Linked DNA regions of Mus musculus. The protein of the gene in region 1 interacts with the protein of each later gene in a pairwise test. Links are inferred from orthologs where the notes say so. Each region holds a gene or a part of one and is shown on either strand. Other genes may lie near its edges. The genes, in order: Mia2, Ttc23l and Cchcr1.

Region 1 (10,145 bases):
TCTATTTCTGTTTTCTCACAAGAGATGACTTAAAAACACACAGTAGCTTGTGTGTTGCTCTACCACAGCACCTACGTTTAGATTTATTCTTCACTCACTTCATGATATTGGATAGCTTAGCCTGTGTCTACTGTGGCTTATGTGCAAATATTAAGGTGATAATGTCACCGGTCCCAGAGAGCTGGTGTAAAGTTGAGATCACATCAAGAACTACTCACATTATCTAGGCACTTCAAATAATATGTGGATCATAGTAATAGTTATTATGTTTTAACTATTATTCTAACTGTGACTTCATAACAACACTGAAGATTTTTTAACATACCCAAAGGAATAGCTTTTCTGATAATTTCATCATATTTCAAAATCATACTTTTGACATAAATTGATAATGCTTTTTATATAACTATACATCTTCTTTTTAATGTCACAGGTATGGCAATTGTTTCTGGTTAATGTATTTGAAGTTTTTTCCCCCAAAAACAATAAATTCATTTTTGATTATGCGTTTAACTTTTAAAATTACATTTATCATTTACACATATACCCTTTCTGTCAGTCGGTGTGAGTGTGTGTGTGTGTGTGTGTGTGTGTGTGTGTGTGTGTGTGTGTGTGAATGAGTGTAGATCAGACTGCCACTTCTGGAATCAAGTCTGTCCTTTTACCAAGTGGGTCCTGGGTAATATTAAACTCAGGTTATCAGGCTTCATGATAAGAGTACTTATTAACTGAGCTATTTTCTGGCTCTATACCTTCTCTTTTGAAGGTAGAACCTGCATGTAGTAAATATTTGGTTTGTACTCATTGACTCATCTGCCTGAAGACTGTGGCAGAGATTGAGGTACCTTCTTTGGAGGCTTAAGAACCGTCAGACCGAGCACAGGGTGCCTTTAAGTGAGTCAGTTTCACATGGGCTACTTTATAACACATTGGTCCGGCTAAAACCCCTGTTAATTATTAAGCCCTTCGGTATCATCCGGCTACCTGACTCTGCAGACTGAGACCAGAGAGTGTTAATTTCTGAAGCTGGGCCAGCGCCCCATCGGGAAAATGTAGCTACGAAGGGATTGAAGAATACACAGCTTTTTCCTCTTGCGCTACGGAAGGGAGCGTCGCATGGGCTGTTTTTCTGGCATGCCTGCCGCCTAACATTCTAACGCTTGTCCAGGATCCTTGGTGGCTTGTTTAGGCATGGCGGAAGTCAGTGTTCAAAGAATCCTTCTTTTGGTTGTTTCTCTGGCCAAGTGTCTGGAGGGTACAAAGTTGCTGGCACACCTTAAGAAGTGTGGTGACTTGGAATGTGAAAGTAAGTTCGCTTTTCTTATTCTCTCTTACACTGAGTTCTAAAATCACATTAAATCTCACGGTGAACTTGTGGGGCAAAAAGTCAATGTTAGTAGTATTGATGGCTATTTGAATTATAAAGTATAGCTTCAGGCGAAAAAGGGAATTCTAGAAGCAAAGCATTTTGTGGCAGCATAATTATAAATTTTACACATTTAATAAATTTAATAATTTATATGTTAACATAAGCATAAAGACAAAAATTACACTGATAGAACTATGGTAGAGATAGTATTAATTCGTGTGTCAAAAACTAAATAACCAGCTTTTTAGCCATTTTTGTTTTGTTTTGTTTTGTTTTGTTTTGTTTTGTTTTGTTTTAAAGATAATTGAGTTGTTTGGAAAGCCATCGGGCAGTTTGTTAACTCACTGTCGATGAAGCTCATATGGGTTAGTTTCTATTTCACAATCAGAACTTTCCGATTCTCATGAGTTTCCCCCAAAATGTTTTTACTTCAAACCATCATTTTGAAAACTGTTTAGATGTCCAAATTTTATCAAATGCTAATCATTTGTGTCAGTTTATTATGTAAAAATGCTAAAATAAGTGTTTCAATGTGTGTGTATGATGTATAACATTTAATATGAAACTTTCTTAAGTCTCTATGAAGAGACATTAATTTCTACTTTGTTTATTTTTATTTTATATATATGGGTATTTTGCATGTATGTATATATATATATATATATATATATACACACACATACATACATATACATACACCACATATGTGCCTAGTGCTCATAGAACCCAGAAGAGGGCATTGGATTCCCTGGAACTTGAATTACAGACAGTTACGAGCTTCCACATAGTGCTGGGAACTGAACGTGGGTCTGCAAGAGGATTAGAGGCTCTTAACCACTTCGTCATGTCCCCAGCCCCAAGAACTTAATTTTTTGGTATCTACATAACTGCAAAATAATTTTATTCTGCCAAGTATAATGGCACCAGGAGGCAGAAGTAGGCAGAGCTCTAGTTCCAGGCCAGCTTGATCTACACAATGAGTTCTTTGTCTCAAAAGGACAACAGGAAAAAAGATATCCTCATCTTAGAGTTCCTGAAAAAATTCCTATCTTTTCAAGATGAAAATTATGTCTAATTTTGCAAAATGTAAATTAAAATGCAATATGTGACACAAAAATGTCTAAGACATGCAAGTATATTTAATGATTTATTTACCTCTGTTTTGTGTGTATTAGTGTATGCCTCCACGCATGTAAAGGCATTGGGTGTGTGCCTGGTGCCCCAGAGGCCAGAGAGCATTCTGACTAGACTAGACTAGAGCCACAAATGACAATGAGTCACAATGTGGGTGCTGGGAATTGGATGCAGGTCCTCTAGAGGAGCAGCCAGTGTTCCCATCTGCTGAGTCACTTCTCCAGCCCCAGGAATTTTTGTTTTGTTTTGTTTTTGTTTTTTGTTTTTTTGTTTGTTTGTTTTGTTTTCGAGACAGGGTTTCTCTGTGTAGCCCTGGCTGTCCTGGAACTCACTCTGTAGACCAGGCTGGCCTCGAACTCAGAAATCCACTTGCCTCTGCCTCACAAGTGCTGGGATTAAAGGCATGTGTCACCACTGCCCAGCAGAAATATTTTTATAAGTAAAAACCATGTGCGTTTATCTTTCCTTCCTTCCTTCCTTCCTTCCTTACTTCCTTCCTTCCTTCCTTCCTTCCTCCCTCCCTCCCTCCCTCCCTCCCTTCCTTCCTTCCTTCCTTCCTTCTTTCCTTCCTTCCTCCCTTCCTCCCTCCCTCCCTCCCTCCCTTCCTCCCTTCCTCCCTTCCTCCCTCCCTCCTCCCCCCTTCCTTCCTTTCTTTCTTTAACTGTCCCTCTGTAAACCAGGCTGGCCTTCATCTCATAGAGATCAACCTGCCCCTGGCTCCCGTGCTGGGATTAAAGGCATATACCAGAGTATGCTCTGCCAACTACATGGTATTTTATAGCAAAGATCCTTTAATTTTCCCTCTAATACTGCTTTTTATATTTTAATAGTATTTTTTTTTACTCATTCTTTGGTCATTTCATACATTGAAATGTGCTTTGATCATGTCTTTCTATATCCCACTTCCAACCTGCAGGTCGTACAGCATCTTCTCTCCTAATTCATAGATTTAAAAAGATTTTTTAAAAAGTTATTTTAAAAAATGTATTCATTTTATTTTATATGTGAGTGTTCTCCCTCCCCGCCTCCCCCCAGTTTCTTTGTGCAACCCTGCTGTCCTTGAACTCACTCTATAAACCAGGCTGGCCTTGAACTCAGAGATCTGCCTGCTTCTGCCTCCCAAGTGCTGTTATATTTGAGTATTTTGTCTGCATGTATGTCTGCATGCCATGTGCATGCTTGGTGCTGGCAGAGGCCAGAAGAGGGCATTTTGGAAGCCCCTGGAATTAGAGTTTCAGATAGTTTTGAAGTACTGTGTGAGTGTGGAGAAAAATGATTCTCCCCCGTTGGGAGCCATGAATTCAGTAGCTCCTCCGATAGCTGTGGTGGCTGTGAGCCCCCTCCCTGCTCTGTGCTGGAATGTCAATGGCTTGAGCTTGTAGACGTCTTTGGTAGGCAACCACAGCTTCTGTGAGTCTGTAAGCCTGTCATGGTCCAGAAGACATCGTTTCTAAAAATACCAAATATGACTAGTTTAAATGTAAACATTTCACAAGTGCTATTTTTTATGAGTAATCATTTTTTCTTAACCTTTCAGAAAAGTCATTCAGTGTATTGAGAATTTGTTACCATGGTACTTTGCTTTCCCACTTTGCGTTATTATCAGCACTTTAATAGCCTTAGAGTCCAACAGAAATTCAGATTTGGAGTAACTTACAATGCAATTTTGACTCTTATTCAAGGATTTAATCAGTATGATTTTATGTTTTACACATTAGCACTATAATATTTATATGATATGCATGTTACTTTAGGCATCAAAGGCTAAATCAATCATACATAGTTTACTCAGTTACTGAGGGCCTACAATGTCTCTAGGGGTATGTGTTCTAACACAATGTATTTTATTTTATTATTTTTTTAAAAAGATTTATTTATTTATTTATTATATGTAAGTGCACTGTAGCTGTCTTCAGACGCACCAGAAGAGGGCATCAGATCTCATTACAGATGGTTGTGAGCCACCATGTGGTTACTGGGATTTGAACTCAGGACCTTCGGAAGAACAGTCGGTGCCCTTACCCATTGAGCCATCTCACCAGCCCAGTCTATTTTATTACTTTTAAAATACTTTGTGGGGGCTGGTTCACTGTAGCTGAAGACAGCTACAGTGTACTTATATTAATAATAAATAAATCTTTAAAAAATAAAGTAATAAAGTGAAATGAAAGCAGTTTCTTTTTCTGTAGGAATAGTCATCTTATTTAATAACAACAAAACAAATCAAGGAGGAAGAAGGTGATGAAATTGTAATAATGACAGATAATGCCAGAGTTCAGACTAGACAGGAAGCAACACATGAGTTAAACATGAAGAGAGGAAGAATAGAAATAGAAGCTTAGGATAAGGACCATGATGTTGCAGAAAAAAAAAAAAATCTCAGGGCAGAGCTAGGCAACCAGAGCTGTATGACCCACCCTTTGAACCTCAACTAAAGACTCAATCGTTAGAATGAAGTGGGGTGATTTACCCTATAGATATGCATTGAGGATTCAACAGAATATAAATATAATTTGGAAACAGAAAGAAAGCCAGAGTCTCCTACACACCCAAGAACAGTAGTGACTTACTCCGAGAACAAGAGATTTGCAAGCTGGAGTGTGTTCCAGCCTTGAATCTGTGCAAAGGAGAGGTTGCTTAAAATAGGGAAGGACAGGGCCTTCAGAGAGAGGGACCTGCCTTTAAGAGTGCTTACTGCTTTTTCAGAGGGTCTAGGTTCAGTTCCCAGTACCCACAGGGCAGCTAACAACCACGAGTTCCAGAGGATCTACTACCCTCTCTGGACTTAATGGGCACCAGGCTGACATACAGTGCACATACATACACGCAAGCAAATCACTCAAATACATAAAGTAAAAATAATATAAAAACATCTTCGAAATGTAAAATAAAATAAAGGGAGAGCCTGTGAGAGGAGTCAGAGGGTACAGGCACTTGCTGCCAAACCTGACAACCTGAGTTTGATAACCAGGACTCACAGGACAGAAGGTGAGAACTGACTCCCAAAAGTTAGTTGTACTCTGAAATGTGTACTACATGTACACACACACACACACACACACACACACACACACACACAAATTTAAACTTAAAAATTAGGTAAGTGGGGCTGGAAGATGGCTCAGCAGTTAAGAGCACTGACTGGGCCGGGCATGGTGGCACATGCCTGCACTCGGGAGGCACAGGCAGGCGGATTTCTGAGTTCGAGGCCAGCCTGGTCTACAAAGTGAGTTCTAGGACAGCTAGGACTATACAGGGCTATCTGTAATGGGATCCTATGCTCTCTTCTGGTGTGTCTGAAGACAGCAACAGTGTAGTCACGTACATGAAATAAATAAAAAGATCTCTAAAACAATAGGTAAGTGGGCTCAGGTTATGAATAATCTTCATATGCCAAAAACATTTGGGCTTGAATTTGTATATAGTATAAAGTATATTTTAGTTTTCCTTCCTTCCTTTCTTTCTTTTTTGTTTTTGTTTGTTTTTTAAAGATTTATTTATTTATTATATTTACATATATAAGTAAGTACACTGTAGCTGTCCTCAGATACTCCAGAAGAGGGCATCAGATTTCATTACGGATGGTTGTGAGCCACCATGTGGTTGCTGGGATTTGAACTCAGGACCTTCAGAAGAGCAGTTGGCGCTCTTAACCACTGAGCCATCTCACCAGCCCCAGATTTATTTATTATTATATCTAAGTACACTGTAGCTGTCTTCAGATGTACCAAAAGAGGGCGTCAGATCTCATTACAGGTGGTTGTGAGCCCCATGTGGTTGCTGGTATTTGAACTCAGGACCTTCAGAATAGCAGTTGGTGAGCCATCTCTCCAGCCTGTGTTGTTTGTTTTTTGAGACAGAGTTTTTCTGTGTAGTCCTGGCTGTCCTGGAACTCACTCTATAGACCAGGCTGGTCTTGAGCTCAGAAATTTGCCTGCCTCTGCCTCCCAAGTGCTGGGATTAAAGGTGTATGCCACCAATGCCTGGCCTATATTAGTTTTTGAGAACATAACCAATATTGACAAACGAGGATTTCAAACTATTATTATTAATATTATTGAAATATATCAAACTCCTGACATTCTCCTCATCTTCATGAGTGCTGGTGACTACAAGTGTGAGCCATCAGGCCCACCTCTTACTTCAAAACTTAAAGGATGGATTGAAGGAAAGCAAAATGGATGGAGAAGTCAAATATTATGGTGGTATATATCTATAATCTCAGCAGCAGGAGAAGCTGAAGCAGGAAGATTTTAAGGTTATGTTCAGCCTGGGATACATAGCAAGACTTACTATCAATAAGTAAACGAGAAGCAGTGACATTTTAAAGTGTGAGCTTTCCTGTATGTGTCTATACAGCTTTGATCAGCCGAGTCTTAGCCCTGAGAGATTACACAGGACCCGACTGTCGGTACCTGAACTTCACTACGGGAGAAGAGATATCTGTTTATGTTAAACTTGGAGGAGACAGAGAAGATTTGTGGGCAGGAAGCGTAAGTATTTAGTTTTAAGAACTAAACGCAGAATAAATGTCCAACGCAGACAAGGATACGTGCTGTTAAAGGAACTCTTATTTAACAACTTCAACTCATCATATTTAAGCAAACAAAAAAAGTGATCACATGCATGCCTTTAATCCAAGCCCTCAGGGTGTCTGAGCACAAAGCCAGCCTGATCTACATAGCACGTTACAGACATTTAGTGATTGCTCGACAATTTCTATAGAAGAGGTTTTTGACCCTGAGATGAGGACTAAAGGAGGGCCTTGCAATTATTTTTTACACAACCCACATAATTTTCAGCGTAGAGGACATTATTATTTAGAAGGCATGCTGACAAATGTTATGGCAACCTCAGCATCTCTGTGCTATTAGTGACTGAGTTTGAGAGAGACTGGGAAGGTGTTTTATCAGATTCCAAAGCATGTCTGCCTGAACAGAGAGAGGGCTGAGGTGTGTTGGACAGACACGTCAGCAGAAAGGTTGGTACGGTAGGGAAGAGAGGTGTATAAACTTTTCATGGAAAATAAAATATTAACTGGTTGATCCTTTTATTTGGCCAAAGTAAAAGAAGCCCAAACTATCTCTTGGGATAATAATTCATGTTTTCAGTTGAAAAGATTTATATCTCTGGTGTGTACTATGCTTTGTAACGATGGCATGCTTTGATAGATGAGTTTACTTCCAAGCTGATAGACTCTCACATCGTTCTCATGCTGTGTGTACATCAGGATCTTCCATAGTGTAGCCTCTGTGCTCACTGTCTGAATGAACAGCTTCGTTTTTGAGACAGTTTCACATAGCTCAGGTCATTGTTAAACTCCCAATGTCTGTAGCCGAGGATGAGTCTGAATGTCTCTCTTAGTCAGGGTTTCTATTCCTGGACAAAACATTATGACCACGAAGCAAATTGGGGAGGAAAGGGGTTTATTCAGCTTACATTTCCACATTGCTGTTCATCACTGAAAGAAGTCAGGACTGGAACTCAAGCAGGTCAGGAAGCAGGAGCTGATGCAGAGGCCATGGAGGGGTGTTCTTTACTGGCTTGCTTCTCCTGGCTTGCTCAGCCTGCTCTCTTAAAGAACCAAGACTACCAGCCCAGAGATGGCACCACCCACAAGGGGACCTCCTCCTTGATCACTAATTGAGAAAATGCCTTACAGCTGGATCTCATGGAGGCATTTCCCCAACTGAAGCTCCTTTCTCTGCGATAACTCCAGCTTGTGTCAAGTTGACACAAAATTAGCCGGTACAATGCCCCATCCTCCTGAGTGTTGATGTCGCTGGCATACAACAGTACCCATCTGAAGGCACACACTGCATTTGAAACTGTCCTCTTCCCACCAGGGGATGTGTAACTAAACCTTTCCCATGCCAGATTTGACTTCTCCTTATTGCTTATGATGGTTTTAAAATACCGGTCTCTGTTTTGAATGCATCACAGAAATCTGACACAGGTATAAGAAAATGACAGAGTATATGTCATGAGAAACAAAGAAAACAATTTTGATTTATTTGTTTACTAAGTATGAAAATAATAATTCTACACAAAACAGTGTTTAATGGATAAAGTCTTGGGGAAAGTCTCAGCTGCCATTAGCATTTGGTACCTTAAGTGATTAGTCTATTTGCTTCTCTGCTTTTTGTCTAAGCAGAAATAGAGATGGTTAGTCTGTGCTCGTAACTGTTGAAGAACTCACACTGTGGACTCATAGACTATTTCCAAATAGTTGTAAATGAAGACTAACTGGAGAGCTAGAAAAATCATATTTAATATGTGATGGTGTTGGCTCAGAAGACAGAAAATGTTTGTGAAACTTTAATAGGAATAAGAAGGAGGGGCTCTGAGTGGTTGGATGCTGACCTCACTCACAGGGGGGAGGGGGGACATCCTACATGTGCTTGAACTGGGTCAAGAGAATCTGTTACTAGGTTAGCCCAGAAAAGCCAAAAGGAACTGCATGCTCTCTTGGGGACACATGGACCTTAACTACCTTGAGAAATCTATCTGCCACTTCCGGGAGTCTAAATTCCTTTCTTGAATGTGACATCTTGACACCTCAGAGTTTGCAATCGTTCTGTCTTCCTGAATTGTCACCTGAGTTGTTCCTTTTTGATATCTCACATCTAAACATGTAAATCTGCATAACCTAGGCAAGGAAGGTCCTAGAGCACGGGGGTGAGGGTGGGGGATGGGCTGGAACAGTGGTCCAGCGGTGAAGAGCATGTGCTACACTGCCAGAAGACCTGGTTCCCAGTAACCACATGACAGTTCACAACTGTCTGTCATTCCAGGTCTAGGCCATCTGACAGTTTCTTCAGGTCTCCACAGGCACTACAGAAAAAACACCCATACACATAAAATAGAAATATATAAATCTTGCCAGACAGTGGTGGCACACACCTTTAATCCCAGCACTTGGGAGGCAGAGACAGGCAGATCTCTGTGAGTATTGATGCCAGTCAGGTCTACACAGTGAGTTTCAGGACAGCCAAGGCTATAAACAGAAACCTTGTCTTGAAATACACACACACACACACACACACACACACACACACACACACACACACACACGAGAATAACAGGAGTATATAACACAACAATGGGGCCTCACTCCTGTTCTTGTTATTGTTGTAGGTTTAGTTTGTCACCGGGGCATGAACCCAGAACCTAAGCAAGAACTCTATCACCTAACTATATCCCCAGTCTCCACTCATGATTTTTAGATGGCATTTTTGATAGCCAATTAATGTTTTGTGATTTAATATAGCTAAAAGCCAAGGTCACAGGACAAAATGAGGCCCAATAGCTATTCTTGCCTCATTCACTTTTCTCTTAAAATCTTTGTTCTTTGTTTTGATAGAAAGGAAAAGACTTTGGATTTTTTCCCAGAGATGCAGTCGAGATTGAAGAGGTGTTCATATCTGAAGAAGTCGAAATGCCAACTAAAGTGAGTAAATTCATTTTCAGCAATTTAGTTGAGTTTAAAAGTTCTTGACAAAAAAATGGTTTCCTTGATATAAATGTTCACTGGTTGTGTACCTCACTCAGTGAACCACAAAGGACAGTTATTAAGAGCTTGTCCTTGGCATCGTTTGGGTATGTGAATACAATGAGATAAAACAGACTTGATGACCATTAA
Region 2 (10,145 bases), on another chromosome or scaffold:
TTGAGCATTCTGAGATCAGCGGCACCCATCTCTTCCCCTCTACACATGCCTCTCTATTGGTTATGCTATATGTGCTCTTCCGTTGTTATACCCTTATGGGGGAGAGGCTGAAATTAGGGAAATGGAAGGATGTTTGAGAATTAAGGGGATTTTCCTCCCTGCTATTTGCCTCTGGCCACAAACCTGCTTTTCTTGGATTTTCTAAATGACCCAAAAAGTCCCTTTCAGCGTAACTAGTTCCTCTCCTTTCTCACCACTGTGAAACAATTTGGTTAAAATGAATAACCGTTGTCCGGCAATTGATGATGTTAAAGGAAATCTAGTATAATTTACAGTATCTGTTCAGTCCTACAGACACTCACCACCCCAGACCTACAGACACTCACCACCCCAGACCTACAGACACTCACCACCCCAGACCTACAGACACTCACCACCCCAGACCTACAGACACTCACCACCCCAGACCTACAGACACTCACCACCCCAGTCCTACAGACAGACACTCACCACCCCAGTCCTACAGACACTCACCACCCCAGACCTACAGACACTCACCACCCCAGACCTACGGACACTCACCACCCCAGTCCTACAGACAGACACTCACCACCCCAGTCCTACAGACACTCACCACCCCAGACCTACAGACACTCACCACCCCAGACCTACAGACACTCACCACCCCAGACCTACAGACACTCACCACCTCAGACCTACAGACACTCACCACCCCAGTCCTACAGATACTCACCACCCCAGACCTGGACTCAGGCAGCCACCGCAGGGAACCCAAGGCCTTGTTCTTTTCCAGGCAATTCTTCCTTCTTGGTGGCGTACACATGGAGAGTAGGGAACACAGGCAAATGCCCGTTTGCAAACACCACCTTGTTTTCCCAAGGGTCGCTTTTGTTAGCTTATAGGTTACTACGTCTGTATAGTGGCAGTTAGTGTGTCTGGCATCACCCTTGACGGTTTCACTGGCAAACAGGCCTACATCCACCTGCAGAAAGCAGAGAGAAATATGAAGGAACTGAAAGAATTAAACAACGGTAACATTTGTGGAATCCAAGTCTCGGAGAAAGACCTAACCATTGCTTTGGGGAGGTAAGATCAGCCATAAATAAGCAGAAACTTTCATGAATGAGATCTGAGGTTCTTTCTGGTTTGTGGCCTGATAAAAGGGGGCTGTGTTTAGACAAAAAGCCCAGAGGTTACCTAATAATAAAAGAGGTCACATTTATCAAATATGGATTCTGCAAGCTTACTATATACGCTGCCACGTTTAATCCTCTCACCTACCATGGAGGTGATCAGTATGATTGTGGTTTCCTCAGAGGAACAGCAAGAGACTGAACTGGCTAAGCAATTGGTATAATGCAGTGTCTCTCAACCTACATGTCAGATATAAACATTATAATTCATAAGAGTAACAAAATTACAGTTAAGAAGTAGCAATGTGCTGGGTGGTGGCGGCGCACACCTTTAATCCCAGCACTTGGGAGGCAGAGACAGGCAGATTTCTGAGTTTGAGGCCAGCCTGGTCTACAGTGAGTTCCAGGACAACCAGAGCTACACAGAGAAACCCTGTCTCATAAAAACAAAAAAAAGAAGGAGGAGGAGGAGGAGGAGGAGGAGGAGGAGGAGGAGGAGGAGGAGGAGGAGAAGGAGAAAGAGAAAGAAGAAGGAAGAAGAAGGGGGAGGAGGAGGAGGAGGAGGAGGAGGAGGAGGAGGAGGAAGAAGAAGAAGAAGAAGAAGAAGAAGAAGAAGAAGAAGAAGAAGAAGAAGAAGAAGAAAGAAAGAAAGAAAGAAAGAAAGAAAGAAAGAAAGAAAGAAAGAAAGAAAGAAAGAAAGAAAGAAAGAAAGAAAGAAAGGAAAGGAAGGAAGAAAGAAAGAAAGAAAGAAAGACAGCTGAGAACCACTGGTTTAAGGTAACTTAACTTTTACATATTAGATCTAAGGTCTGAACACACACACACACACACACACACACTCACACACACACTCACACACACACTCACACTCACACACACACTCACACTCACACAACACACTCACACACATACACACACACACACACACACACACACACACACACACTACATTACTTTGAGATTGATTATTTTTCTCAGTGGCCTCTAACTTTTACCATCAAATGTGGCATCCTAACAGGTAAGAAATGAACACTTAAGATATTTAATTGGAAATTATCAGAGCAATGTACATGTGTGCATTTTTTTAAGGAAAGTTGTGTTCTGTGTAGAAACAAAGTTCACAGGATTTGTTCGAGCCAGAACAAGACTTAAAACTGTTTTGAGTTAAGGATCCTCTGAGAATCGAGTATTAGAAAGGAAAGTGGGCCCATCAGATTAGCAGGAAAAAGAAATAAGGAGAGTTTACTGTTCCCCAGATTTTTCAAATATCTTCTCAACCTTGAAAGAAATCTCTTTCCAAAAACTCTAAGTACTTGGCACGGTAGGGCAGATGACCGAATGGTAAGTAAATGAAACCCAGGTGTCACATCTGCCTCCTAGAACACATGAATCTCAAAGGCAAGTGGGACACGGTGGGGACATGGTGGAATGTTCTCAACAAAATCAGACTGTTGACAAGTCCACAGGGCCATAGTTAGAATCTGGTGGATGTCTCCTGCTGTCACAGAGGGCCGCGCTTGAAGGCTTCTGCCCTCTGTGAAACGAAGCTGTGTTTCCTTTTCACAACCAGTCCTCGAGTGTGCTTTGCCTATTCACACCACAAGCTTTGAGTATCAGTTCATGTACATACTAAGTGTTACAATGCCTTCTAGGTTCTTATCACACACCACACCCTGTTCTGAGTGCTTTGAAACTGTATCCCATTCGGTTCTTGCTAAAACCTATAAGCCTGGTCTACAGAGTGAGTTCCAGGACAGCCAGGGCTACACAGAGAAACCCTGACTCAAAAAACCAAAAAAAAAAAAAAAAAAAAAAAAAAGCCCAACAACAACAAAAAAAGAATAGGCATTCTGAATATTTTTATTTTACAGAGAAGAAAACGGGGCACAGAAATACATACTAACTGAGGTGAGAGAGCAAGTTGAAGTGCTTGGCTTCTCACCGAGACGTCTGAATTCATAGGTCATTCTCTGCACCTTGCTGTTGTGTTTGATATGGATCAAATAGATAATAAAGACAAATACCTCGAAATGCCTTTTCCCACTGAAGGGTGGAGGCAATAAGGCGAGATTGTTCAGGCCAAACAGCTTCCTAACATCTCTCTCATAGCTCTTGGTGGGAGCCTCCCATTCTTAATGTCTAAAGAGTAAGGGAAACACCTTTGGTCAAAAGAAAACTTGTCTGCTTGATCGAAGAAATGACTGTGACAAAGAATGGTCAAACAGACAGAGAGCCTGCCACTGCTCTTTGTCACTCACTCTCATGTTCAGAAGAAGATAAGTCGTCCAGAAATGGCTGGTTCATAGGCCTCTTGCTCTCTTCAGGTGCAAATCACAAATATGCAACCCCGAGTCCTTTTTTTTTTTTTTTTAATTGGGGTAAGATCTCAACTCTGTTGCCTAGGATGCCCTCAAATTTACAATAATCCTCCTGCTCCTGCCTCATGAGTGCTGGAAATACAGGTGTGGGCCATCATATTTAGCCCAGAGTTTTGGGGGTTTACAAACCCAAAGGCTTTAAGCTGTAACAGCTAGTCTCATGGCTTTAGAAGCCAGTAGTTGGTAGCTCTAGATGCTCAGGCAGAGTCATACTGCTTTAGGTTTTGAGTTCCGTCAACCTTCAGCAGACAGTAGTTCATCTCCTGAGCCTCAGGTGCTAGGAACCTCACTCAGCCTTCAACACTGATGGCTCTCTAGCTCCCCTTTGTGATCAGGCTTGAAGGTCTTACCGTCCGTCCGTTTGCAGAGCCTCGTGACCTCTACAGCCTTAGCTCTCCATTTCCTAACCTAGGCTGTGCTCTCTGGAACTCTTCAGACACCTTTTTTTTTTTTTTTCCTTTTCTTTCTTTCTTTCTCCCTTTCTTTCTCCCTTTCTCTCTTTCTTTCTTTCTTTCTTTCTTTCTTTCTTTCTTTCTTTCTTTCTTTCTTTTTTTGGCTGATAGGTAGTCTCAGGCTGAGTATTACAGGGTCTTAGTGTCTTCTATTGTGATAAAGAGAACAGCTGGGTAATAAGAGACAATTCTGGAGAAGTCTCTATTGGGGCCTAATTTTGCAGGCCAGGATAAGCCCCAGAGAGAAGCCTCCAGCCTGACCTGAAAAAAAAAAAAAAGTAAAAAAAATTGTCTGCTTATGAGCCAGAAGAGGTGCTTAGCATGCTTGTACATGGCTTCTAATTCCATAGTCGCAGCCTGACACGTATACTTGCTAGTTCTGCCAGTCATGAGTCTCCCATGTAAACCTATCACGCGTGTTAAATATGTCTGCACTGTTAGACTCAGCAGCCTGTCAGGCACAAGCTTTCTGCTTGTCACTGGGGCTGGCACTTCACCCTACCTGCAATGAAGACTGTTCTTAACATGACAAGATCCACGGTCTACGCTTATGGGTAAATTATCCCGTCTTAGGAATTTCTGAGTGACATTTTCCCCCATGTGCGTTTCGATAGAAATTATACAAGAATAAACCACATCCATGGGTTAAGCCAATGATGGTAGTCTGTGGGATCTCGTGGGCAAAATTCAGGATAATGGGAGCTTATTTATAGCAAGCCTGGATCTTGAGCCAGTTGTCCAGATGACTGGGCTATGAAGACAAATTCTTTACTTCCTGGAATTAATTCCGTATGTGTCCGCAGAGTGGGTGACCTCTGAGTAACTTCCACCTTCGATTCTTTTCTCGCAGAGCCTCCTTGGCTATGCACAGGATGAACCTAGCCCTGGCGTACTTTGAGAAGGCAATCTGCGATGTTATCCTTGACAAGGGTCACAACACGTCAGAGCTGATTAGTTTGTACGAAGAAATCGCTCAGATCGAGCAGCTGAGGAAGAACCACAAACAGGCCATCCAGTACTTGCAGCAGGTTGGTTCGTTGGCAGGGTGGTCTTGATTGGCTCCGTTGGTTCTTTGGCAGGGTGGTCTTGATTGGCTCCGTTGGTTCTTTGGCAGGGTGGTCTTGTTTGGCTCCGTTGGTTCTTTGGCAGGGTGGTCTTGATTGGCTCCGTTGGTTCTTTGGCAGGGTGGTCTTGTTTGGCTCCAGGTCCTGTTGCTTCTCAGAACAGGGCATTGAGGTGGATCCCTTATTTTAACCCTAACATCTTAAGGGGGCAGAATCAGTTTCATGTTTACCTTAATTCTTTTTCAGTCCCATACAACAGCCTCCAACCTAAAAGTCCTGAGCAGAGGCCTCCAACTCTACAGAACATATATGTACTGTGAGCTGAGCAGGACATACCACATCCCTTCCTAGGCCTTTCGTCTTTGTTAGTGCTGGGAGGAAACCAAGCTTAAGTCTATCCCAAGGGGGAAAGAAAACACAGAGGCGCTGGACTCCAAGAAGACAAAAAGGGCAGACTGGTGAGAGAGTTCAGAGGTGTTTGACATGGAAGTCTGGTGACCAAAGTTTAATCCCGGGAACCCATGTGAAAGCAAAATAGGACAGTAGGTTCCACAGAGCAGCCCTCTGGCCTCCACAGGAGTCTGTACATGCGGATTTGCCCCCCCCACACACACACAGAGAGAGAGAGAGAGAGAGAGAGAGAGAGAGAGGGAGAGAGAGAGAGAGAGAGAGAGAGAATAATAGTAATAATAATAAATAAAATATTTTTTAAAACAACAGGGGTCTTTTAATTGAAAACCCATGATAGTTTGTTACAATGTGTCAGTTGCCCTTTAAGGTCATTGCAGATGGGTTTTATTTCCAAGTCTAAGGTTAAGGTCACAACACTTGGAGATAACTAACTGACAAATACTCAAACCAAAACATAGGCCTTACGATATGAAAACCATTTAAGGGCCTGGAGAGATGGTTAATGGTTAAGAGCATTGACTGCTCTTTCAGAGGTCCTAAGTTCAATTCCCAGGAACCACATGGTGGCTCACAACCATCTGTAATGGAACCCAATGCCCTCTTCTGGTGTGTCTGAAAACAGCTACAGTATACTCATATAAAACAAACAAACAAACAAATAAAAATCTTTTTAAAAAAGAAAAAGAAAAATGACTGGTTCCCTATTTAAAAAAGAAAAGAAAACCATTTAAGGCATTTCCATTTAAAATGCACTTTAAAATGTTAGTAAATTCATCTCTCTCTGCTGGATAAAAGGCTGCAGTGCTGCTGGGAGCCTCAGAGATCCTCACATGCGGGATTTGGTGCCCCAGAAAAGTAGTAGCACTGTCCCGCAGTCTATGTGAAAAGCCAGCTAGCAAAGCAGAGATGTGGCAAACAATTTGACAAGCCAAGATTATGAACACCAGGCAATGGGGAGAAACATTGGTACAGTGGTTCTCAGCCTTCCTAATGTTGTGACCCTTTAATACAGTTCCTCATGTTGTTGTGACCCCCCCCCCAACTATAAGATTGTTTCATTACTACTTCATAACTGTAATTTTGCTACTGTTATGAATCATAATGTAAATATCTCACATGTGGAATATCTGATATACAACCCCTGTGAAAGGGTCGTTCATGACCCGTAGTTTGAAAAGCATTGCATTAGAGCATTCTACCCTCCCTGGTGCCGGAGTCACTGCCTATGGAGAAAGACATGCACTTTGAATTTGAGGATCTCTTAAAAGTGTGGCCAAATTAGAATGAAGAAAGGAATCAACATAAATGTTTACAGCCACACCCAAAAAAGGAATTAAAAATTTATATAAAATGTTTTAACTATGTGCACCCAAGTATGTATTTCTTTTAATCCACAAGCAAAGACATCAAAAAAAATAGGCATCGTTGTGTAATCTCATTTTTATGGATCAAAAAAGTAAAGCGCAGAGGTAGAACTAACTCCACTGAAGTTATATGGCTAACAAGAGGCAAAGTGGAGACTTGGACTCAGAAAATCTGACCCAGGAGATTTTGTTAAAGAAGCAGTGTGCACACAATGTGCAGCATCCCGGCTCCGTAGCAGGTGGAGTGATAACAGCCCCTCTGTCTCCTTGAGATAAGCATGGGTTTGGCCAGTGAACTGCTATGCATGGGTGGCTCTTTCCTTGCTGCTGGCTGTGAGTCTGCTGTTTCCACTCTTCTGTCTTTCTAAGTGGCAGTCCTTGCCATTTAAATACGGATAAGATGAACAATACCACTAGCAATTATTATCTTACACTAATGGCTACTGAATGCCAGGTGGTATTGTAAGCACTTTACATCTGTTAATAAATTTAACATGTACAGCAACTGTTCATGACAAATATTGTTTCCATCATCTTTTTCTCCTATATTTGAAGAAGTTAAAGGACCACCCTGTATCATGATAAGTGGCTAAGCAGGCCTGGAGCTCTTAGCCCCTCCGTTTTTTGACTGTCTTTGACCCTGAACCCTTGTGATGCTGAGCTAAGGTCACAGTTACCTTCTGCTGGAGACCAAGTGGAATTAATGGGGCTGAGATTTACTAGCCACATGATAGACAGCGCCCAGCATTTACATAAGGTGCCTCCTTTAATGTTTCATGAGCCCTAATCACTAAGAAGCATACATTCCATCTGCATGAGAAGGTGAAGTGACTTTTTCAAGAACCATAGTAGGAAGTGACAGAGCTGGAACTCACAGTCCACTCTCATCCAAGTCCATGTTTAGCTGAGTTGGCTCCCAGTCAGCTAGCAAGTCTTACAGCTGCTGAAAAGGGCAGTGAAAGATTGTCACTGGGCATTGAGCTTGTCATGATTTCCAGACTGTCACTGAGTATTAATCTTGTCATGGTTTTCAGACTGTTGGGTACTGAGCTTGTCGTCATGGTTTCCCGACTGTCACTGGGTATTGAGTGTGTCGTGTTTGTTTTTTTTTTCTCCCCAGGCCTATTCTATCTGTGTTTCTTCGTTTTCTGAAGTCAGCCCCCAAACTGCTGAGGCGAGTGCTTTACTAGCGAAAGCGTATGCCATGTCTGGAGCATCCGAGTACAGGGGTAGGTAGAGGAGGTGGTATTGGCTTTATCGTCTTGTCCCAGTGACATGTGAGAAGCAAGCTGACAAACGATCTTCATATAAGTAAGAGCTTGCAGACAGCCACTCTCAATGGAAAGATAAAGCTGGTCACGATCCTGTGCAAAATCAGTTCCATAATTACACGTGATGATACACCTGATAACGTCTTCTGGAATTAACTGAGCACCAGAGCCAACGATTTCCTGTATTCCCTTACAGTGTCCACCACATTCACCTAAGCTGTAAAGATCACACGCGCTGTAAGCATGGCTTGCCGAAAGGCTCAGTAGTGAGGTGGCGTTGACTCCTCTCCCCCTGCTCTCAGCCTTGACTCCTTCCTTCCACCCTTACAAGAGAGAAGGATGGACCAACAAGAATTTCCTCGTCCTGAATTCACAGAGAATGTACTAGGATTTTTAGAGGGAAGCTAGGGATTTAATGGCTTCTCTGTCCAGTGAGGTTGTGGGTGTGGAACTGGAGAGACAGCTGAACTTGTGAGGTTCCACAGTGTGGCCTGGGCAGCCCAATGGCCATGGGAATGTGTGGTTAAAGGAACTCTGCTCTCTCTTGTCTCCAGAGAGGAATGTGGGCTTTGTGGAGAATGTGAAACGTTCCATGCCTTTCCCTTCTGCTTATGAAAGGGACCCACGCCGACGCGTGCTACTTTACAGTTGGAGAAAGGGCGAGGAGGCAGAGAGAGCCAGAACTGCAGAGGAAGTCTGCATGATGGTCTTCTCCTTTTGTTTTCCTCTGCTACTAAAAAAAAATTTGTTTTAAAGTTTGGTATTTTATTTTCTCAACACTGAATGATCATTGAAGACTTTCTGAGTTGGAGTTTTCCAACTAATACTTCTCTCCTTTTAAGATTTATGTATACTCAGTAGTGGGCCCATTCCACGTATAACAGATTTTCACAATTTGCAATGATAAGAAATCAGATATATTTGTAACTGTGAAATATTTAGCTTTTTATGTGAGAAAACTTCAATTCTAAGACAACTTACATTTTTCTCAATAATTTTAAGTACAACATGAATATTTATTTATTTTCCCTCTGTGTGTTTGCATGCTCACACTAGTGCAAAGGCATGCTTGCATGCATGATTGCACATGTGAATGCCATGGTACACATGTGAAAATCATAGGACAACTTGAAGGAATCAGTCCTTTTTTTTTATCATTTGAGACCTGGGGGTTGAACTCAGTTCACTGGGCTTAAAAGCAAGCTCCTTTGCCACTGAGCCATCTTGCCAGCCTCCTTACATACTTATTTTTAATATTAAAAATAAATGATGTAAAAATGTACATTGGAGAAAAACCAGTCTTTTCAAAATAAAGTGCTAGAAAAACTGGATTAGCTCACATGAAAGCTTGGGACGAAATCCCTATCTCTTCTTCTGTAAGAAAACTAACTCCAAACCCTTTATCCTTTGATCACTAAATACCTTTATAAAAGACAAAACTTTCAAACTGATAGAGGTCTAAGTAGGGAAAACACTTCAGGATACTAGCATAGTGAGCACTTTTGGAGTGTGCCTCCATTCACTCAGGTAACAACATCAACAAATGGCAAATGAGATTTCATCACACTGAAACACTGCAGAGGAAAGGAAAAGATTGAAGAGGCACCTGTCTTTGCTAGCTCTGCAACACATGGGATTAATATCTAGAATATAAAAGGAACTGAAAAAAAAAAAAGACAAAACCCAACCAACTCAATCCTAAATGAAATGCTAAGCCAAGAAGCAGGTCTTGAGCAATGAATACAGATTACAGAACGTGTTGGCTTCGTGGCAGTGAGCAGAGCTACCTTCCAACTGGCTGATAAACATGAAATAAGGTTCAACATCAGTAGCAGTCGGAGATGTGCACACAGAGCTGAATTGAGATTCCCTCACCCCAGTCAGAAGTTACGTGAAAGCAGGCTTTCTTTAAACCCCAGTAAAGCCAGAAAAGTTTTAAAATGTATATCTTCAAGCTTTATAAGTAAGTAAATTAAACTCCGGCTAGATTAAAACTTTAATCCTCCAAAAGTAAAAAGTTTCATGGATAAATATTAGTTCTAGAATAGAAA
Region 3 (10,145 bases), on another chromosome or scaffold:
TTTGAGGGCAGCTTGATTCAAGGAGTGAATTCTAGGATAGCTAGGGCTGCACAGAGTTCCTGTCCTGGAAAAAAAAAGGAGGAGGGGGTAGACAGAGAGAGACAGAGACAGAATGAACTTGGGAAGCAGGGGCAGGTGGGTCTCTGAGTTCAAGGTCAGCCTGTTCTACATAATAAGCTCTAAGGCATCCAGGGCTACTAAGTCTCAAAAGTCAAAACAAAAAACAAATAAAACCAACAACAAAATCAAACCAAACCTGGGGTGGGGGAGGGGGCTTGGGGTGTGGGGGTGGAGGGCTTCTCAGAACACTTCCAGGGCAGTTAGGAAAGAGATTTGGAAAGAGGCGCCCGAAGGGCAGGGGTAGGAGGACAAGCTTCTCACAGCCCCTGCCTCAGGAGCCGGCTCAGGGGAAATCGCAGTCTCTCAAACATCTCCAGGCAACACTATTGCCATCTTTATTCATTGCAGAGTTTGAATTTGGTAGAAGCTGGGGTTCCAAGGCTTGCTGGGGGGCAGGGCTAGGCTGGCCCCCACCCCATTTCCTCCGACCCAACCCTCCTGGGGGTCCAGCTTCAGGCTGGCTTCATTCTTCCCCCTGGCAGCTCTAGCTCAGCAGTGGATCTGAAGGAGGGTTCTTGGTTTTCTTGGTGTTCTGGTTATCTTCCACACAAATATCTTCATCTCTGGAAATGGCCTCGCTCAGGCCTTGCAGGTTATCAAGCAGGACGGTCAGGGAGCCTGATAGAAGAGACATCATGGGGTGCACACCGGGGTGAGAGCAGGCTGCATGTTGCCCAGGGCACGGGGCTGCACTGGCTAGGAGGCCCTGAGGGAGATTCCTGGGCACTGGCAGCACAGATTAAAGGCCAGTGTATTCTACCTTTCACAGATTCCTTGCACGAAGCAGCTGCCGGAGACTCAGAGGATGAGGACTCCACAGACCGGGGGCTGCACTTCTTATTCACTCCCGAGGGAAGCACTGCTAACAGGCGCTGCTGCTTGTAACAGAAGAGGAGACCCTCCTGCTTCAAGGTGGCCTGGGGAGGAGAGGGTGAGCCGGCCGGCCCAGGCCAGCCACCCGCCCCTGCACACCTTACTCACCCACCAGCTACCGTGACTAGCTCCCTGCTGTCCCCTACCAGCATCAGGTTCTTGTCCCTCTCCAGCTCCTGCACACGCCTCGTCAGCCGCTGACCCTCTTCCTTCCGGGCTTCATCCTGCAGGCGCCTGAGCTCCTGGTTGCGCTCCTTTTCCTGAGTGGCTTTGTGCTGGATCTGGCGCAAGGAAACCACTAAGGAGATGGGAGGGGGTTAGCCCAGAGCCCCAAAATGAGACTTGAGCTCTCAACTCTGTCTCTCAGGGACTCTTCCACACCACGGGTGGGCTGATGTCATGGGATCCTGAGCTCTCTGAGCCCTAAGTACTATCTCCATCCCTGATGCAAGCTCCTTAGGCAAGATGTGGACAGGGGCGCCGGAGTCACATCTCCTATAGTTAGTGCTCATGTGACCTGTTGATGTTGTTTTGAGACAGGTTTCCCTATGTTGTCCAGGCTAGCCCTAATCTATCCTGCCTCTTATTTTCAAGTGCTGGAGTGACAGGCAAGTGCCACCATGTGTGGCTAGGGCTCATGTTCTTACGACGCTAGGTATCACGATTAGATAATTTTCTGGCTGTGGGGTGTGCAGCTAAACCATCATGTCTGCTGCAACTTACACAACTCGAATGCCTACTCGTGTAACCATGGGAGCACAGGCGAGCCAGCAGGGGTGTTGACTGTGTTCTACTCAGGGAAGACATGGACATTCATCCTGCTCCTCTAACTCATCCAAGTGTTAAGTTTCTGGGGAGGGCAGTCGCCAGAAGTGGGGACACAGCAGTGGCGTCCGTTGAGGGGCAGTGATGCAGGCCTGGAGCCAGAGTTGTTCCTGATCCGGTGCTGGCTGCTGTGTGTTCACTGCATAAGAACTCATTCATGTCAGTCCTACGTTACTTCGCTACATACACTTGTCAACAAAAAGCTTCAAAAAAGGTAGGTGTGCCGGGTGTGGTGGCGCACGCCTTTAATCCCAGCACTCGGGAGGCAGAGGCAGGAGGATTTCTGAGTTCGAGGCCAGCCTGGTCTACAGAGTGAGTTCCAGGACAACCAGGAGAAACAGAGAAACCCTGTCTCGAAAACAAACAAACAAACAAACAAAAAAACAAAAACAAAAAAACCAAAAAAGGTAAGTGGGCTGGGGAGGGGTTACCAGCCCTGTGTCTCAGTGCTGCCTTCTTCCTGGCACATCTCACCAGCCTTGGCCTGCTCCCTTCGGGCCTCGTTCAGCCTCCTCTTTGTGTCTGAGAGCTGTTCCCGAAGCCGAGTTTCCACCTCGGCCACCTTCTCTTGCAGGGCTGCAGGTGAGGGTACGAGACAGTGTCAGGGAGAGCTGCCCATCCCACAGGGTCGCACACACCGCCACGCCCCCACACCTTGCCCGTAGATTTCCTGCTGCTGTGTCAGCTCCTGACGGAGGCTGGCAGCTTCCTCCGTGCTCTCCTGCTGGCCCCGACGTGCTGCCTCCAACTGCTGCCCAACGCTGGCCAGGGATTCCTGGGCACGCTGCAGCTCCTGCTCCAGCTGCTGGGCCACCTCTATCAACCGTCGGCGCTCGACCTCCCCTAAAAGGAAACCGTGGTCACACAAGACCTCTTGCTGGCACCTGAGCCTCAGATGGTAGAGAGTCTCCTCCAGCCCCACGCAGGCATACCTTGCTCCCGTGCCCGGCCCACCTCCTGCTGGATCAGGTGGGCACTCAGCTGCAGCTCTGCATCCAGGCGGTTCCGTTCTTCCCGTAGCTGTTCCAGCTCAACGCTCAGGTCTGTGTCCAGTGGGGGTGCGGCTTCCGATGGGGGAGAGCTGGGATAGCAATGACAAGAGTCAGAGAAAATTCCCCCAGCAGCTACCTGCTTGGTGCCTCCACCCCTCCTTGGTCCCTCTGGGTCCTAGCAGCCAATAGATTGCCCCCAACATCCATACCCCCCCTTTACCTCAACTAGTCTGGACTTTACCTCTCCACGCGCAACTGAGCAAGAGCCACCTTTCGAGCCATCAAACCTGAGAAGAGAGGACAGGGAGATGAGTATACATGGACAGAGGGTGGTGGGAGCACAGGACTGAGTGGCAGTTACCAAGGCAACAGAGGATAAATGTGAGGTTAGATCCAGGGCTAAGAGCAAGAGGGCCAGGCCGGAAACCCCACAGTTGCTCTACGTACCCTTAATGGTGTGGACCTTCCGGACAGCATAGCTGAGTCGGTTGCTGAGGCTGGGAATCCGGGCTACAGCCTGATCCATCCTGGTCATGGTGCTTTGGAGTTTGGCCTGAGTGCTGAAGAAGATGTAGGCTGCTCACTGTCCTCCCTCCCCTCATCCCTTCAAGACCTGCAGGGTCTGATGCAGAGGACACATCTGTCCTGAAGGCCCTGCAGGGTCTGGTGCAGAGGACACATCTGTCCTGTCCTGTTACATGAGCGGGGAGGTGGGTTGTTAAGTAGCAAGCAAAGGAGAAACGGAAGTCACCAGGAGAGGCAGTGCCTTGGCAGACCCTGCAGGTTAGTCAAGCTCCTTAGCAAACCTAAAGAGAATCTAAGTGCTTAAGCTTGGTAACTGTCAGGTTAAAAACATCCAGCTGAAAATGAACTCCTGCCACAAAACCTACAGTGTCTAATTTGGTCCCTTACAGTCTTTTTGTATGGGTGGAAGAGGATGGGAGACGATTAGGGTTAAGACAGGGTGGCTAGAACTTCACCATCATGCTTGGCCTGCAATGTATATAATAACCTGCAGTGAGGAACCATTAAAGTCCATGGGCTCAACTCCTACCTGGATCTACATTCTGTAGCCCAGGAAAGGGCTCAGCAACAATTCTACAACAGCGGGTACCAGAGGCTGACTAAACTCTGAGACCTGTACCTGTAGGCTACCACTCAGGCTCCGGGCACTTGGGACCTGACACTATCTGCCTCACCTGGGGCATACGGTGTTCAGAGCCTAGAAGGGCTTTCTGGTGACTTTTATTAAAAACCATGTCTGTGACCTGGCAGAAGGTAAAACCCATGCACCACACCCCAACGCCCTCCTGGAGGCAGGCACCCCATATACAACACTCCAACACCCTCCTGGAGGCAGGCACCCCATACACCATACCCCAACATCCTGCTGGAGGCAGGTACCCCATAAGCAACACCCCAACACCCTCCTGGAGGCAGGCACATGCAGTGCTTTGAATCTTCCAAACTAGTTGGTTCTTCCAAACTAGTCTGACTCTGTGCAAGTTAAAAAGTTTCATCTTTTTATTCTGGTGCCAGGGATTGAAAGCAGAGATACCTGAATGCTAGGCAAGCGCTCTACTACTGAGCTACAGACCAGACCAGCTGTACAATTAGGGTGCCTCCCCCAGCCAGACCAGGCGAGTGTGCAAAGGAAGGAAGGAGGAAGAGAGGGAGGAAGGACTGCACATGGCTCCAGTTCCCATCCCTGAGCTCTGAAGCCACAGCCCCGCCTAGCTGTCCTACTTAGCTTCAGAGCGCACTAGACTGAAGTGCAGGAAGCAGGATCCTCTGCTGTGGCCCAACCACAGCTCAGTTCACTGCGGGTGATGCTGGTGTGATACAGAGGTGACACCCCTCCACCCTGCACCCTCCTGCCCCTCTTCCCCGAGGCTCTTCCAGGCAACAGATACCTGTTCATAGCACCGACCACGAACTTCAACTGCTCTTCAGCAGAGGCTATCTGCTGTTCCTGCCTCCGCCTGGCCTCCTGAGCCTGATCCAGCTCCATCTGCAGGCTCTGGGAAGGATGCAGCTTTGTGTGTACTTTTTCTTGTAGACCTCCCTCCCTGGCACGTGGCCCACACACCCGGGCTAGGGTCTTCTTCACCCTCCTCCCTTAGGGAGCACCCTCAGACCTTGGTGCTCATCCGCTCCACCTCCACCTGTGCAGTTTTGTCTTGCAGGGCACGCTGCAAGATGGCCTGCTCCTGGCTTTGGGAGGTCACTTGCTCCTGGAGCTCTGCTACCTACGGAAGCAGAAGGAGCTAAGCAAGGAAATGGAGAGCCAAAGCTATGGGAACACGGGTGGGAGGGGAATGAAGGAGACAGGGCGGGAGTCTCCGGAGTCGGGCTGCAGAGACGGCCCAGTGGCTAAGAACGCTGGTTGTTCCTGCAGAGTTCCATTCCCCTTTCCCACATGATAGCTCATAACCATCTGTAACTCCAGTTCTCGGAGAGCAAACACCTTCTGACTTCCGTGGGCACATGGTACACATACATACACGCAGGCAAAACATTTATACACACAAAACAAAATAAGCACACCTTTTATTTCTTTCTAAGACAGGGTTTCACTATGTAGCCCTGGCTGTCCTGGAACTGACTATGTAGACCAGGCTGGCCACAGATTCAGAGATCCTCCTGCCTCGGCCTCTGCCTCCTAAGTGCTGGAATTGAAGTGTATCACCACACCCAACTAAATTAATAAGTACTAAAAAAACAAAAAGAAAATAAAAAACCCGGTGTGGTGGGGCGTGTCTTTAATTCCAGCATGAGGGAGAGACAGGCAATCACTTATAGGTCAGAACAGTCTACAGAGTGAGTTCCAGGGCAGCCACAGAACATAGAAACTCTGTCTTGAACCTTCTCTCCGACTCAGGATGCACAAGCCCACACTTTGGGAAACCCTCCTGACCCAAGCCTTCCCCTGACCGTGCCCGTGGCCATGCCCTGGTGGACGTTGTGGCCTCAGAGGCCGTCCCTGACCATCCTATCCATCCACCTCAGTCTGTCACCACTGCTTTTCCGCAGCACTTATGACAATGTGACGCCTACCCATCTTTTTACGTATCCTTCTAGAACTCAAGCTCCGTGAGAACGGGGACTCCTCGGCTCGGGGCTCTGTGCCCTGCACGTGGCAGTCACCCCGAGACTAACTGTCATCACTGTGAGAGACACGGGGTGCGGGATGACAGTGACAGAGACGCAGCCCCTGACCTGGATCCTCAGCTGCGACGTGGAGTCCCTGTGCTGCAGGTCCTGGGCTTTGAGCTGCACCATGAGGGCAAATACCTTCTCCCGCCAGTTGCGCAGCAGCGAGCGGCACTTCTTAGGAAACTCGGGTTCCAAGGGATCTAAAGGCTGAATCTGTACGGGGGAAGAAGGGAGATGGATGTTCTAAGAAAGTGGGGACCTTTGTCCTGCCTGTCCTGCCGTCCACAGTGAGGAGTTTAGGGGTCTTGGTGGCATACCACCCACTACCCCCAGAAAGGGAAGGCCTGCAGCAGGGCAGGGTCTGGAAGATGAGGGAGGGTCCTACCTTCCTGGTCAGCTCCTCTTCCTGCAGGGCGAGCATGTGTGTGAGGCTCTGTACTCGTACCTGCAGTAACTCCACGGTGGCCTGAAGGTCAGCCCGATCCTCCTTCAAGTGCTGGGAGAAGGAACTCCACCAGTCAGGATCTCCATGCTACCTCAGGCTGTGAGCCGTCTCAAGGGCAGCATGGCTTCCCCTCTAGGGCACTGTGCTCTCTCCTCCCAGGTCATGCCCTGATCCCTGGAGTCTTTTCTCTCACCTTCAAGGTGTCTAGAAGCTCCTTTCGTTCCAGCTCCCATTCCTGGCTAGGAAACTCAGGAAGAACTTGTTCCCCCACATACTTCCTCAGACTCTCCACCAAGGTCACCTGAGCTTCCAGCTCTTCTTGGGTCTTGCTAAGATTGAAACAGAAATGGACCAGTCCTCGGTAGAACAGCCTGGCAATGCCGCACCCCTCACTAACAGCCCTGCGCAGCCCACTGACCTCAGCTGGTTCCTGAGCATGTCCGCCTCCTTCTGGGCCATAGCCAGCTGCTTGGCTTCCCCTGCCCGTTTCGTTTCCAGGCTATTCAGAGACTTCTCCAAGCCCTCGGCCTTGCTGGCCAGACTGTCGAGAGCCTTCTGGTGAGCCTGTGTCAGGGAGGACAGCTGTGGAGGAGGAGCATGCTCAGAGAGGGCCAGCCTGAGGGGCTGGAGAGCTCAGCAGGGCAGACCCAAGCTCAGTTCCCAGCACCCAACGCGCAGTTCAGAGGATCCAATGTCCTCTTCTGGCCTCTGAGGCCCTCACACATGTGGTATACACTCACTGACACAACACACACTCACAAGCATAAATAAATCTTCAGGGGGCAGGGCGGCTCACCCCACCTTGGGGCCTTGTCTCTCAGAGAGCCATCTAACTGATCATGCTGCTGTAAGCAATGGAGGAAATCTTGGCCTCTGGTTCTCCACAGTTAGTTTTAAACATCAGCTCCTGCCAGTTCACTTCCCGGTCTCTCCGTGTTCATGCTAACAGCGAGAGTAAAGGACCCCACCTCATGCCTGAGTCTTTCAGGCTGTAGAGACTTGAGTTAGGAGCCCCAAAACCTTTGTGAAAAACCTAGACAGGCCAGCATACACCTGTAATCACCCCTGCTCTGTGGGATGGAAGGAGACACGGGCAGATCCCTGAAGCTCCTGGTCTGGCCTACATGATAAAGTTGCGGGTCAATAAAAGACCCTGTCAGTCTGGCATGGTGGCGCACACCTTTAATCCCAGCACTTTTTTGTTGTTGTTGTTGTTGTTTTGAGACAGGGTTTCTCTGTGTAGCCCTGGCTGTCCTGGAACTCACTTTGTAGATCAGGCTGGCCTGGAACTCAGAAATCCATCTGCCTTTGCCTCCCGAGTGCTGGGATTAAAGTTATGTGCCACCATTGGGAGACAGAGGCAGGCAAATTTCTGAGTTCGAGGCCAGCCTGGTCTACAGAGTGAGTCCCAGGACAGCCAGGGCTACACAGAAAAACCCTGTCTCGAAAAACCAAAAATAAATAAATAAATTAATTAATTAATTAATTAATTTAAAAAAAGACCTTGTCTTGAGTGAAAGGAGCTTGAGACCCACACCCGAGTTTGTCCTCTGACCCCCACACATGTGCCAGGCACCCTCACACCCTCACCCACAGACCCACGCCTGAATGTACACACACTCCTCAGTGCATGGTGGGAACAAATGTCTTCAACCCCACGTGCTGGCTCCTCTTTGGTCAATCTGACATGAGCTGGAGTTATTTGAGAAGGGTAACTCAGTTGAGAAAATGCATCCATTAGATCATGCATCCATTAGATCATCCTGTAGGCAAGCCTATGAGATATTCTCTCTGATGCGTGATTGATTTGCAAGGACCCCGGCCCACAGTAGGATGGTACCACCCCTAGATAGGTGGTCCTGAGTTACATAGGAAAGCAGGCTGACCAAGCCATGAGGAGCAAGCCAGTGAGCAGGGCCCCTCCATGGCCTCAGCTTCCCTCAATGGACTAGGAGCAGGGTGAGATAAGCCAGAAGCCCTTCCCTTCCTTCCCAAAGTTGCTTTCTGTCAGTGCTTTATCAGAGCAATAGAATTCTAGTACTTGGGAGGCTGAGTTGGGAGAACTTCCTCAAGCTCAAGGCCAGCCAGGGCTACAGATCAAGACCCTACCTTAATAGCCCTCTACCCACAGAAAACAGATTTGCTACACCCACAAAGCCTACTGCAGGAACAGCACACTTGCCGAGCTCTCTCCTGTGGCTCTCCCTGCTCAGGCGCTGTTCAACCCTCAGGGAGACCCCTCATCTGCCCTTTCCCTGCTGGCAGCTTTCTGAGCTCTAGCAGCAGGTCGGACCCTACTTCTGTGTGATCATGAGGATGCTCTGGGGAGGGAGGGTCTTTCTCACTAGACCCCAAACAGCGCCAGGGGCAGCAGAGCAGATGGAGCTGTGGAGCCAATGGTAAGGGGCATGCCCTGCTTCCTCCTACAGGGTAGGTCAGCCCTGCCAGCCCTGTCTCCATTACCAGTATCAAGTTTGCAAAGTCGAGCACAGGTGTTTTTAGACGTACAAACCTGACTCTGTTATTGCCCTGTTTTTGTTTTGTTTTTTCTGAAGCTTGGTGTGGTGTCGCACACCTTTGATCCCAACACGTGGGAGGCAGAAGCAAGAGCCAGGGCCAGCCAGACAACAAAAACCTTTCCTTTTCTGGGGACACGGGGGGGGGGGGGCTGTACCTGTAGCCTTGCGCAGAGAGCAGGCAGGCACTCTGCCGCTGAGCTACAGCCTCAGTTACTTAGAACCTGCCAATGGCTATCTGACTTTTTTTTTTTTTTTTAAGAATTATTTATTTTGCCGGGTGTGGTGGCGCACACCTTTAATCCCAGCACTTGGGAGGCAGAGACAGGCGGATTTCTGAGTTCGAGGCCAGCCTGGTCTACAGAGTGAGTTCCAGGACAGCCAGGGCTACACAAAGAAACCCTGTCTCGAAAAACCAAAAAACAAAAAAAGAATTATTTATTTTATATATATGAATACACTGTAGCTGTCTTTAGAAATACCAGAAAAGGGCATCGGATCCCATTACAGATGGTTGTGAGCCACCATGTGGTTCAGGACCTCTGGAAGAGCAGCCAGTGCTCTTAACCACTGAGCCATCTCTCCAGCATCTTTTGACATTCCAGCAGTCTATCTCACTCACAATGTCTGTCTAGAGTCGACTTCTGAATATGGTACCACTAATAGAGGTTATCGAACATCAGAGTAGGGCGCTTGCTTAGTCAAGCGACAGATTCAGAGAGCCTTCCTACGGGTAACTCACAGGCAGCAAGGCTGTCCCTGCTCCAATATTACGAAGAAGATACTCTCATCTTTAAAGCCTCTCTTCCTGAGCGCTCCACCAGCCTGGGGTGGCCCTCTCTGTCCCTAGACTATGCTTCAGCACTTTCCCAGTTGCAACTGGCTATAGCTGCATTAAGTGTGTCCCATGCAGGCAGGCTATGGGCGCCATTCATGAGAGCAGACTCAGACAACTTGAATCCCTAGCCAGATCCTACCTCAAAGACGGCAAAGAGAAGCACTGGGTAGCCTGACTGAAAAAAATCTACCTTTCCCAGTGTTCCCTGGGACCCATACCACTGCCCCATCCTACCCCGACCCCAATCCTTCCCTCCACCACGTTCCCAGAAGGGTACCTGGCACAGAATATGGAGAAATACTACTTCTGAGGGTATTGAAGGTTACGAGCTCACTGACTCCCAAGTAACAGGTGCAGCCTGAGGGAAACCAAAATACCCA

What was found.
Region 2: the proteins of Mia2 (region 1) and Ttc23l interact in binary tests that used the Homo sapiens proteins (3 or more experiments, as listed by UniProt). The two-hybrid records come from large-scale screens. The link is inferred for Mus musculus from reciprocal best matches to the Homo sapiens genes MIA2 and TTC23L.
Region 3: the proteins of Mia2 (region 1) and Cchcr1 interact in binary tests that used the Homo sapiens proteins (3 or more experiments, as listed by UniProt). The link is inferred for Mus musculus from reciprocal best matches to the Homo sapiens genes MIA2 and CCHCR1.

Annotation. Positions count from the first base shown.
Region 1 is NC_000078.6:59,094,609-59,104,753, forward strand, and holds the start of Mia2 (melanoma inhibitory activity protein 2 isoform 6 precursor), read left to right. Parts: upstream 1-982; 5' UTR 983-1,191; coding exon 1,192-1,306; intron 1,307-6,862; coding exon 6,863-6,996; intron 6,997-9,866; coding exon 9,867-9,953; intron 9,954-10,145. UniProt on the Homo sapiens protein: Plays a role in the transport of cargos that are too large to fit into COPII-coated vesicles and require specific mechanisms to be incorporated into membrane-bound carriers and exported from the endoplasmic reticulum.
Region 2 is NC_000081.6:10,528,498-10,538,642, reverse strand, and holds part of Ttc23l (tetratricopeptide repeat protein 23-like), read left to right. Parts: intron 1-981; coding exon 982-1,107; intron 1,108-4,834; coding exon 4,835-5,012; intron 5,013-7,943; coding exon 7,944-8,052; coding exon of another isoform or gene 8,053-8,060; exon of another isoform or gene 8,061-8,231; intron 8,232-10,145.
Region 3 is NC_000083.6:35,521,294-35,531,438, reverse strand, and holds the end of Cchcr1 (coiled-coil alpha-helical rod protein 1), read right to left. Parts: intron 6,994-10,145; coding exon 6,830-6,993; intron 6,741-6,829; coding exon 6,605-6,740; intron 6,463-6,604; coding exon 6,352-6,462; intron 6,180-6,351; coding exon 6,030-6,179; intron 5,060-6,029; coding exon 4,949-5,059; intron 4,831-4,948; coding exon 4,724-4,830; intron 3,371-4,723; coding exon 3,258-3,370; intron 3,098-3,257; coding exon 3,052-3,097; coding exon of another isoform or gene 3,048-3,051; exon of another isoform or gene 3,031-3,047; intron 2,900-3,030; coding exon 2,751-2,899; intron 2,662-2,750; coding exon 2,473-2,661; intron 2,395-2,472; coding exon 2,293-2,394; exon of another isoform or gene 1,292-2,292; coding exon 1,140-1,291; intron 1,038-1,139; coding exon of another isoform or gene 996-1,037; coding exon 881-995; intron 739-880; coding exon 605-738; 3' UTR 424-604; downstream 1-423. UniProt on the Homo sapiens protein: May be a regulator of keratinocyte proliferation or differentiation.